Linked DNA regions of Canis lupus familiaris. The protein of the gene in region 2 interacts with the protein of the main gene of each other region in a biochemical or structural test. Links are inferred from orthologs where the notes say so. Each region holds a gene or a part of one and is shown on either strand. Other genes may lie near its edges.

What was found.
Region 1: the proteins of PEX19 (region 2) and ABCD1 form a complex in vitro, tested with the Homo sapiens proteins (3 studies listed by BioGRID and IntAct, with this or other methods). The link is inferred for Canis lupus familiaris from reciprocal best matches to the Homo sapiens genes PEX19 and ABCD1.

The regions. Positions count from the first base shown.
Region 1 is NC_049260.1:122,743,539-122,747,945, reverse strand, and holds part of ABCD1 (ATP-binding cassette sub-family D member 1), read right to left. Parts: intron 4,086-4,407; coding exon 3,943-4,085; intron 3,856-3,942; coding exon 3,687-3,855; intron 3,100-3,686; coding exon 3,005-3,099; intron 414-3,004; coding exon 268-413; intron 1-267. UniProt on the Homo sapiens protein: ATP-dependent transporter of the ATP-binding cassette (ABC) family involved in the transport of very long chain fatty acid (VLCFA)-CoA from the cytosol to the peroxisome lumen.
Region 2 is NC_049259.1:22,764,638-22,769,761, reverse strand, and holds the start of PEX19 (peroxisomal biogenesis factor 19), read right to left. Parts: upstream 3,439-5,124; 5' UTR 3,383-3,438; coding exon 3,313-3,382; intron 2,754-3,312; exon of another isoform or gene 2,498-2,753; coding exon of another isoform or gene 2,449-2,497; intron 2,029-2,448; coding exon 1,919-2,028; intron 1,494-1,918; coding exon 1,328-1,493; intron 657-1,327; coding exon 571-656; intron 1-570. UniProt on the Homo sapiens protein: Necessary for early peroxisomal biogenesis. Acts both as a cytosolic chaperone and as an import receptor for peroxisomal membrane proteins (PMPs).

The sequences.
Region 1 (4,407 bases), on a different chromosome or scaffold from region 2:
TGTGCACCCCCACACCCCCACACCGTACAGCACACGTGCACAGATGCCTCGCACCCCCCTCCTGCGCGTGCACACCCCCCCCCCCCCCAGCTACCAAGTTGCCAGGTGAGTAGGCCACGGCCCGACGGCAGGTGGAGGCACCATGGCCCCTCCGACTCCGGGGCCACGACCTCGCTGAGCTCTCCCGATGCCCCCCGCTCTGCTGCTCCTGGGTGGCAGGTCCCACGGGTGAAGGGGTAGGGGCGGAGCGGCGGGACCTCCCCTCACCTCTGAGGGATGTAGAACATGCGCTGGGGCGGGGGCTTGTACAGCACGCCGCCGTAAGTGGGCCAGAGACCGCCGAGGATCCGGAACAGAGAACTCTTGCCGCAGCCGTTGGGGCCGGTGATGAGCAGGTGCATGCCTTCTTCCACCTGCGGAGGCAGCGGTGCTGGTACCTGGCGGGGGGGGAGGGGGCTGCACGGGCCTCCGTCCCCTCCCCCGGGGCCCCCATCCGGGGCCGTGCCCAGGCTGGTAGGCAGGCCATTCTCGGGGTCTTGGTGTCGGACAGCAGGGCATGAAGGATGAGGTGTGGCAGCCAGAGCCCTAGCCAGACGCCTGTTTGGGGTCCGGGCCTGATCCCTAAGCCCCTGCCATGCACCAGAGAGCAGGGGGCCAGCGTGAGGAAGGCCCCAGGAGGTCAGCGGCACCCTCTTGCCCGCCGTCCCAGCTCACCAGGACTCCCAGTGTCTTGGCTTCCCAGGCAGACTTGCTCTCCCGGGAGGCCCGGGCCCGGGCCAGGGGCTTTCTTTCGAGTTCTGGGTGGACAGTGATAACCCCCCACTCTGTTCCTAATGCCTGGCTAGTCCCCCTTCCCCCTGGGCCTCTCACTGCCCCCGCGGGTGCTAGGGCGCTGGCCGGAGGCCGCTGTGACCCCTGCGCTCAGCGTGAAGGGCCTCGGGCTCTCCAGTTAGCCCACTACACGGTGCCCACTGGCCTTAGGGAGATGCCTCCCGTAGGAGAAAGGCCAGCCGAGCTTGGGCGGAGTGTGCAGGAAGGAAGGGGTCAGGCGGCAGGGCACTGAGGCCACAGCTCCCCCCCTCGCCAGGTCCGAGTGGCAGTGTTGTGGATTGAGCGGGATCGCCCCCAGACGCGTGTGTTATGGTCCTAACCCCCGAGACCTCAGAACGTGACCTTATTCGGAAAAAGAGTCCTTGCAAATGCAGTCAGTTAAATTTAGATGAGCTCATCCTGGAGTGGGGTGGGCCCCTCATCCGCTGTCACCGGTGTCCTTAGCAAAAGGGGACTTTTGGACACGGAGACGTGCACACGGGGAGCAGGCCACGTGACGAGGAGGCCGAGACCAAGGTGAGGCTTCTGGGAACACCACTGATGGCCAGTATGGCACCCGGACTGGGAGCGGCCGGGAGCAGACTGGGAGCGAAGCGCTTCTGCTGTCCGAGCCCATCACTTTGTGATCCTTTGTCAAATTATAAATGCCCTGGGGCGGGGGGGGGTGCTGGGCCCCCCTCCTCCATGGTGGATGCGCAAGGGCCAGTGCCTCAGGCCTGGCTCCCCCCCCACCGTGGCGCCCCGGCGGCCTCCCTGGTCCTCTTCCCCGGGCCTCTCCCTCCTCCGCCGACCTGCCCCACGGCCTGGCCCATCATGACCGGGAACTGCTCCCGTCTGTTCCCGGCATCTCCCAGCCCCCGAGCCCAGCTTCCGCCTCGCCCCGCACCCCGGCTCCTCCGTCCAGACACCCCTCCTCACCTGGCCTTGCTCCCTAACCAGCTGCACCCTGGAGAGCCAGGGCCCCTGGTCTTTGCCTACTTGGCTGCCGCTGGGCCTGCAGGGAAATCGTTTGCCTTGGATAAACCAGCCATTGGTGGCTCCCTGTCACACCCCAAGAGTGAGCACGGCCAGGGGCGACGGGGATCACGCCACCGTCCTGTGCCGCTCAGGGTAACGGAACGTGCCCAGCCTCCAAGCGGCTCTCGGGGCCCCTCTCGGCAGACCAGGGCAAGGAGCCCCCACTGGCCCCAGCAGCCGCTGACCCTCCACTCGCCTCTCCCCAGGTCCTCCCCGCCGGGCCCCGGCTCCAGGCCACCCAGCTGCGGCCCCTCGGCTCCCCGCTCCTGCCACCACTGCCTGCCTCTGGGGGAGGCCTTCTTCCTCATGCTGCCCACCTCCCCGAGCCCCCGTGCAGCTTCCTGTGACCTCTGCTCACCTCGGGGATAGGACCATCCTTCCCGCGGCCCCCACGGGATCCCGCGCAGCTCACTGGGACCTTGGCACTACTTTAGGGGACCCGGCGTGGGGCCTCCCTGAAGGCAGTGCCCGTCCAACTTACGTCTGCTTCCCAGTGCCCAGCCCAGGAAGGAAGGAACGATTCCCTCTCACTGCTTACACGGACCGCCCCAACCCCAGGCCTCTCCTTCTATCAGGCCCCGACCGTGTCGGAAGCTTCAACTAGGGACGCCGGAGACTGGTGGGTGTTGGCCTCCGGGGCTTCCTTTCTGCAGACAGCCTCTGCAGTGGCTGGGAGCCCTCCCGCCGGGCCAGGCTGTACCCAGCACACACCCACGCTGGAGGCTCCTTAAAGCAGACGGAGGGGACCCTAAGCCCAGGTCACTGGAGGAATCTATTTCACCATAGTTACAGTTGAAGCAGAGCGCCCAAGTCCTGGGCTTCTCGGGGATGGGGGCGGGGGGGGGGGGATGGCAACATAGGGCCAGGGCCAGGAGCCCCTGGGTGCCCCTTGGCTCCTCCTAGTAGTCGCTAGTCACTTTTATGACTCTGCTGCGATAGAATCAACAGTCAGAGACACGTTGGCATCTCACCTTGACCTTAGCCCACTAGCCAAGTAGATCTGGGTAATGACAACACATCCAGGCCCAATAAGCCAGACACCGAGGGTTGGGGCTTGCAGCTACAGAAGGTTAGGCCCAGGGCCCCATAGCTGAGCCCAGCCAGGCCAGCACTCCTGGGTCAGGCGACCCCCCACCCCGTCCCCCACTTGACCTACCCTGATATTGAGGCTGGCCACCACCACCTCTCCCGTGGGCGTGATGATGGGGATGTTCTCACAGATAATTCCCTGTTCCACATCTACCACTTGGCCTGGAGAGAGAACGCAATGAAGGAATAGAGGGAGCAGCAGCACTCCCTCTGCCTTCTGGTGGGTTCCACGTGCCACTCCACCGCTAACGGCATGCCAGTGTGTGGTCCGGGGACCCTTGGGAATATGGGTCTTCCGGAAGCCTGCCCCCAACCAGCATGTGGTGCTCTCCTCTGGACAGGGGAGGGGCAATGTCACTTCTCTGGCTTCTGGAACCTGAGGCACGGAGTCCACCTTTGCTCTGTAAAACCCTCTGCTCCTGGCACTATTTTAATGGCAGCTTTGACGTTTGGGCCCCTCTTCCACAGTACCCGGCCCCTGCTGTAGTCTCGAACTTTCGCTTGCTGCCCACATGGGAGAGTGATCCCTTCTACTCAGGGACTGCATCTCCCTCTTTTGCGAAGAGAAACAAGAGAAATCTCTGGCCAGAGCACCGGGAAGGAGCTGGCAAGTGAGAGGGATGACTAGCAGCTACCACTCGGGGAAAGAAGGTGACGGGGGTCACGGCAGGCCCCGGAAGCCCTCCCTGGGACACAGCTCAAAGATCCTGCCCTCCGGGTGGGGGTGTCCGTGGGGAGCGCGCCCTTACCTCGGATCTGCAGGGGCCCCTCTACGTGGACACCAGACCTCGCCACAGCCCCGGGCCCTGCCTGAGTGTCCTCCAGCTCCCCGGGCCTCTTGAAACGGCAGTGCTGGACATCTTCAAATACCTGGAACATCTCGTGTACTCGGGCTGTGTAGCCGGCCAGCTCTGTCACCTGCGGGGATGGTGACCTGGCTCAGACACTGCCAGCTGGGGGAGCGGTGGGAGGCATGGCAGGGGGCGGTGCTGGGCTGGGGGGTACCTCCTTGTAGGATGACATGATCCGCTCGATGGCATCCGCAGCAGCTGTGAGGAGGTTGCGGGCAATGGTGAAGGCCTCCGTGCGCTCGCTCACGAGCTCCTCCTCCCTCATCTCCAAGGCTGCCTTCTTCACTGCCTCTGAGTCTATGGGGCACAGGGGAAAGGAGGGGACTGTGGGAAAGCAAAACTGACCCCCTGGGGAAAAGAAAAGTCTCTCCAGCAGATGGTGCTGGGACAACCGGGTATCCACTTGCAAAAGGATGACCCCTGCTTCACACACCCCCAAAACTAACATATGGCTCCTTAAACATGATGCCAAAAGCACAGGCAACAAAAGAAAAACAGATCAATGAGCTTCATCAAAATTAAAACTTTTGGGGTTGGGACGCCTGGGTGTCTCTGGTTGAGCACCTGCCTTTGGCTCAGGGCGTGACCCTGGGGTCCCGGGATCGAGTCCCACATCGGG
Region 2 (5,124 bases):
GGATCTTTTCCCAGGCTAGCGAAACACAGATGATACTCTCCTGTGATGCTGGGCAGCAGCTGTGACTCCCAGGCCACCACGTGATCACCGGGGTCAACAACCGATGCACTAACAGCCATTCTATCTGCTTACAACCGTTCTGTTTTTCATATTCAGCACAGCATTCAATAAATTACATGAGATATTCAATACTTTATTAGAAAATAGGCTTTGTGGTGGATGATTCTGCCCAACTCTAGGCTTGTGTAAGTGTTCTGTAGTGTTTAAGGTAGACGAGGCTAAGCTGTCACGTTCAGTAGGGTAGGTGTATTAAATGCATTTTCAACTTATGTTATTTCCAGCCTATGATGGATTTATCAGGCTGTAGCCCCATTATAAGTTGAGGAAGATCTGTATATTGCCTTCTTGAGATGCTTACCACCCTTTCAGGTGGGAGAAAACGATTTACACTTGCAACAAAACAGTGTGGCAGGAACAGACTTTAGATGCTACCCAACAAAGTCTGTCTTTTGAGACTCTGCTGCTGATATGCCTGAGGGGTCCCTCGTGGACCCCACCCCTTTCCCTCACCTGAAGATCAGTAGCATTTTTGGCAAGTCCACTTAGTGTCTCCTTCAGGCAAGACGTAAATTCTTGTTGGGATGTCGCATCACTGCCTAAGAAAGATCAAGAAAGCCATATTAGGGGACACCTGGTGGCTCAGCGGTTGAGCATCTGCCTTTGGTTCAGGGCGTGACCCCGGGGTCCTGGGATCGAGTCCCACGTCGGGCTCTCTGCAGGGAGCCTGCTTCTCCCTCTGCCTGTGTCTCTGTCTCTCTCTCTCTCATGAATAAATAAATAATCTTAAAATAAAAAGCCATTTTAGATTTTAACTGTCTGCTTACCCAGACTGACTTGGTTATCAAGTAGATATAGATATATCTATAGATATATAGATATAGAAGATATAGAGATCTTCTATATAGTAGACATAGATATAGAACATTTACTAGTGGATCACTAGCACACCAATCTCTTGAATCCTCTGTGGTTCCTAGTCATTTTCATGAAGCTACATGAACTGCGCATGTCAGTTTATTCTCCACGATGACACCCACAACACTACGACCTTTAAAATGGTCAGTCTTCAGTCATCTTTTCAATGTCTTTTCAGCCTCCTCCCTTTCATCATACCATGTTCCCATCCCTCTTCCCACCTCCCGGCCCCTCCCCACAAGCAGTGATATGATGAGTGCTATCAGCTTTACTAAGAGACCTAGTGTTCTCAGGCAACACAGATGTCAGGACTTGGTTCACAGAGTTCCAGCCCTCTGGGCTGCCTTCTCACCCACTCTCCCTGCAGCCTCTGAGAGCTTCTGGAACTGCTCCACCAGGTGGGGCTCTTCCTCAGCCAACTCCTTCATTGCCTTCTCGAACTCTGCAGTGGCTTGGGAAGCCAGCTCGCTGTCGAACAGTTCCTGGAAAAACTTCTCTTGGGAGGCGAAGAGGGCATCCTGCAGGGAAGGGGTGGCCAAAATGCATCTCTTATTTGGCACCCCTCTGACACAAGCCACAGGCAGTGGCTCTGAGAAATGCAGTGCTTCCCTCCTGCCCGCCTCCACTGGACATTCTAACTACCTCTCTTAAGGAGAACAGTAAAAAAGGCATCTGGCCACTGAGGAAAGGGTATATATAGGATGGCATTCCCAAAACAATCATGTAAACCTACTCTTTTTTTTTTTCAAAGAACTGCCTTGAGAACCCACCTCTCCATCATGGAAAGTCCCTGTTTACCAGGACTAAGGCCTGCAAGAGCGCTCAGCACTCTAAGGCCGAGGCCTCCTCCCCCCATCCTCTCCAACCCACAGGGGCCTGCCCCACGTCTGCTCAGAGATGCACGCCCATCCCCTCCCATCCCTTAAAAGGGTGGAATTTATACTTTGGCAGTGTCTCCTGGCGATCTCTTCTGGGCCCCTGAAGCATCAGGGGCCGTGGTGGTAGGAGGGGGTGCTGGGGAGGGTTTGGCCTTATCGAAATCATCAAGAGCACCTTCAGAGACAAGAGACACAGTGTGTGTGTTGGGGGGTGGATGAGGATGCAAGGCTGCGGTGCGGGGGGGGGGGGGGGGGGCGCGTTCTGGGCAAAGCATTAGGAGAACAATCAATGTGCCAACCTTCCTAAAAAAAAAATTTTTTTTTTGAGTCTCCCTCTCCTGGCCCACCCTTCAATCAGCTTCCCCACCTCCCTCCTCATCTACCCACCCAATTTATGGTGATCAACGGTAAAAGGAATCCCTTAGGGTGGAAGAGGAGGCATCTCTCCCAGAGCCGGGAGGAGAGAATTAAGAGTTGTGCAAACGCATCTCCCACTACACAGAGGCCTCCTTGCCACACTGTAACGATTTCCCAGAAATCCCATATAAACGTCTAAGGGCAGAGAGCACACATGTCCCTCAACCCCTGGACTCACTCTGGAGACCTTCAGAGAATGATTTTTGGCAAGGAAGCGGCAGCCACATGATGTTCCACCCGGCGTCCCCTGGGTCCTGGTGTGGCACAGACTTGAGGGCTAGCACACCGGACTCCCCGGAGGGCACTGAGGTCTCTCCTCTTACCCTCCGACTCAGCCCTGCCTCAGCCCTGCCGGGGAGGGGGGCGGAGCTCCCGGAGTTCCCCGCAGCCGGCTCGCCCCTGCAGAGAATGTGCCAATGCACAGGGCCACCTGGCGCTCCTCACCGTGTCTGACCGTCCTTCTGTCTGCCCACGTCTCTGTGACTGGGCAGGAGACAGAACGTGTTCACCTCTGCCCTGAACACCTGAGTCCTCACCGCCATCCCGCCTGCCAGGCTGGGGGAGGAGGGGAGGAGGAGGGGTGGCGGGCACGACACGGGCCCTTGTGGGCAAGCAACCACCCGAGGACGGGAGGGCCGGGGCGGGCAGGAAAGAACATGCGGCCTGAGTGGGGGCGCGGGGGCGGCTCTGACGTGGCGAAGGGCAGGTGAGCGGCGGCCGCCGACCCCAGGCGCCGAAAGCCGCTGCCGGCGGGAAGTTCGGTCCCGGCACCTGCGCGGCGAGGCCAAGGCGGGCTGGGGTCGGGCCGTCCCGCGCGCTGCCGCTCCCCCTGCGGCCCGGGCACCGCCGGTCTGACCCGCCGCCGAGGACGGAGACCGCGGCCCGCGCGGCCCAGGGGCTCGCTCCGGGGTCGCAAGGAGACCCGCCGCCCCCGCCAACCCTGCGGGAGCCTCCCCCGCCCCCAGGACCTCGGGGCTCGCTTTGCCCCGGAGCGAGCCCTCACGACCGCCCGCGTCGGGCCTCTCGTCCCACGAGCTCTTACTTTCCAGGAGCTCTTCCAGTTCCCGGTCCGCGTCGGCACCGGCAGCACAGCCCTCCTCGGCGGCGGCCATCTTGCTCTGTCCGGCTTGCCGTAGGGGGCGGGGCTCCGCGGCGCTCGGCCCGCCCCTCGCCCCGCCCCTCGCCCCGCCCCGCCCCCTCGGGCAGCCAATAGCAGAGCGGGCCGGTGCGGAGCCGCCATCTTTAAAGGGACAGGAAGCTTCGTGGGCTTGTGTTTTTGTTTTCGGTGTGGGTTTTTTTTTTTTTTTTTTTTTTTTCTCCCCCTTCTCCTCCTTTCTGGCCGGGAACCGTTGAACTAACGGCATGGGTCACTTAGCAGCCCGGCTCCCTTTACCGCCGCCTCTGGCACTCTCCGGGAAGCAGCCGTTTCCTCGTCTCGCCCAGGGCACCCGGCGTTCGGGCCGCTTTCCCCCGCGGCCTGCCCGGCTCCCCGCCGCCGCCCCGCCCCGCCCCGAATTCAACCACCACGCGGGCCGGGACTCGCTCACTGCGGGGCCCTGGCGCCCTGCACCCCGCCCTGCACCTGCCCGGACCCCGGCGGGGCGCCCCCTCCCCCCCCCCCGTTCCCCAGCGGCGGGGCGGGGCGGGACCGGACGATCCAGGCCCGGCAACTGGGAAGCCGGCGCCGGCGGAGGCAGCCCCGGCAGGAAAAGCCAGTGTGCGCGCCTGGACCGAGCCGGGGACCCCGCAGACCCCGCAGCGGCGCCCCGGCCTCCCCCGAACCATCTCCTTTGCTCAGAACCCAGCGCCCAACCCAGGGATGCTGGGGCGCTCGCGTGGACGCAGGCGGACACCTGCCTTCCCTGCCGACACAGGGCGCCCCTGCCTCAGACGGAGGCCTGCGTTAGCACTTTGGGGGCATCCATTGCCTTTGGGACCCCGTGCTGGGCTCCGCGGACGTAGGGGGGTGGGGACCGCTGCTCGGGGATGAGGCTGGAGGCGGCCCGGACCGGCACACGGAGGTGTGGTGCCAGGTCCACGGCTTCGGAGAACCGTCGAGTGCTGCGGGGCGTAAAATGGGGAAATCACATCTAAATGAAGTCCCTTGGCGGCTTTCGTCCTTGGCTTCCCGAGAACACGCTGGAATGTGTGTCGAGCACCAGCTTAGGTACTCTCTGCTTCCCAGACAGGGCGCAGACTTTTTTTTTTTTTAATTATTTCATGAGAGAGAGAGGCAGGCTCCCTGCAGGGAGCCTGACGTGAGATCTGGGACTCGTTCTGGGTCTCCAGGATCAGGCCCTGGGCCTAAGGCGGTGCTGAACCGCTGAGCCCCCCAGGGATCCCCCAGACTCCTAAATCACACCTGTGCAACACGCGCTGTATTGTTCCGCCCCAAGGGCTGTGACTGAGGACAAAACATCCTGAACCCAAAGTCAGCTGAGCTAAGTCCCAGTCCCAATTCTGTAACCAACTGCTTTTGTTCAAAACCCTTCACCACTCAAGACCTCAGATGGCAACTACATAACGTTAAAGTTCTTTTCAATTCTAAATTTCCATAAGGGATCCCTCTGATTAACCCCTTTCTCCCCAACACCTGCAGAATCTATCCCAGGCTTCCTTCCTTCAACTCCAAACCACTTACATGTGTCTTTCGAATGTGACTATAGTTACATCAATCATGTTACAGGTATTTCTATTGGTTTCACATTAATGTGGTAACATTAGCATGTTAATAAGCAAAATACCAGAAATAAATGAGAACATGAAGTTGAAAACAAGCACGATTCTTCCTTTGCCTCATTTCTTAAACTTGCTCTGCTTTTCTCTCACTAGGGATACTCCTAAAACCTCATCT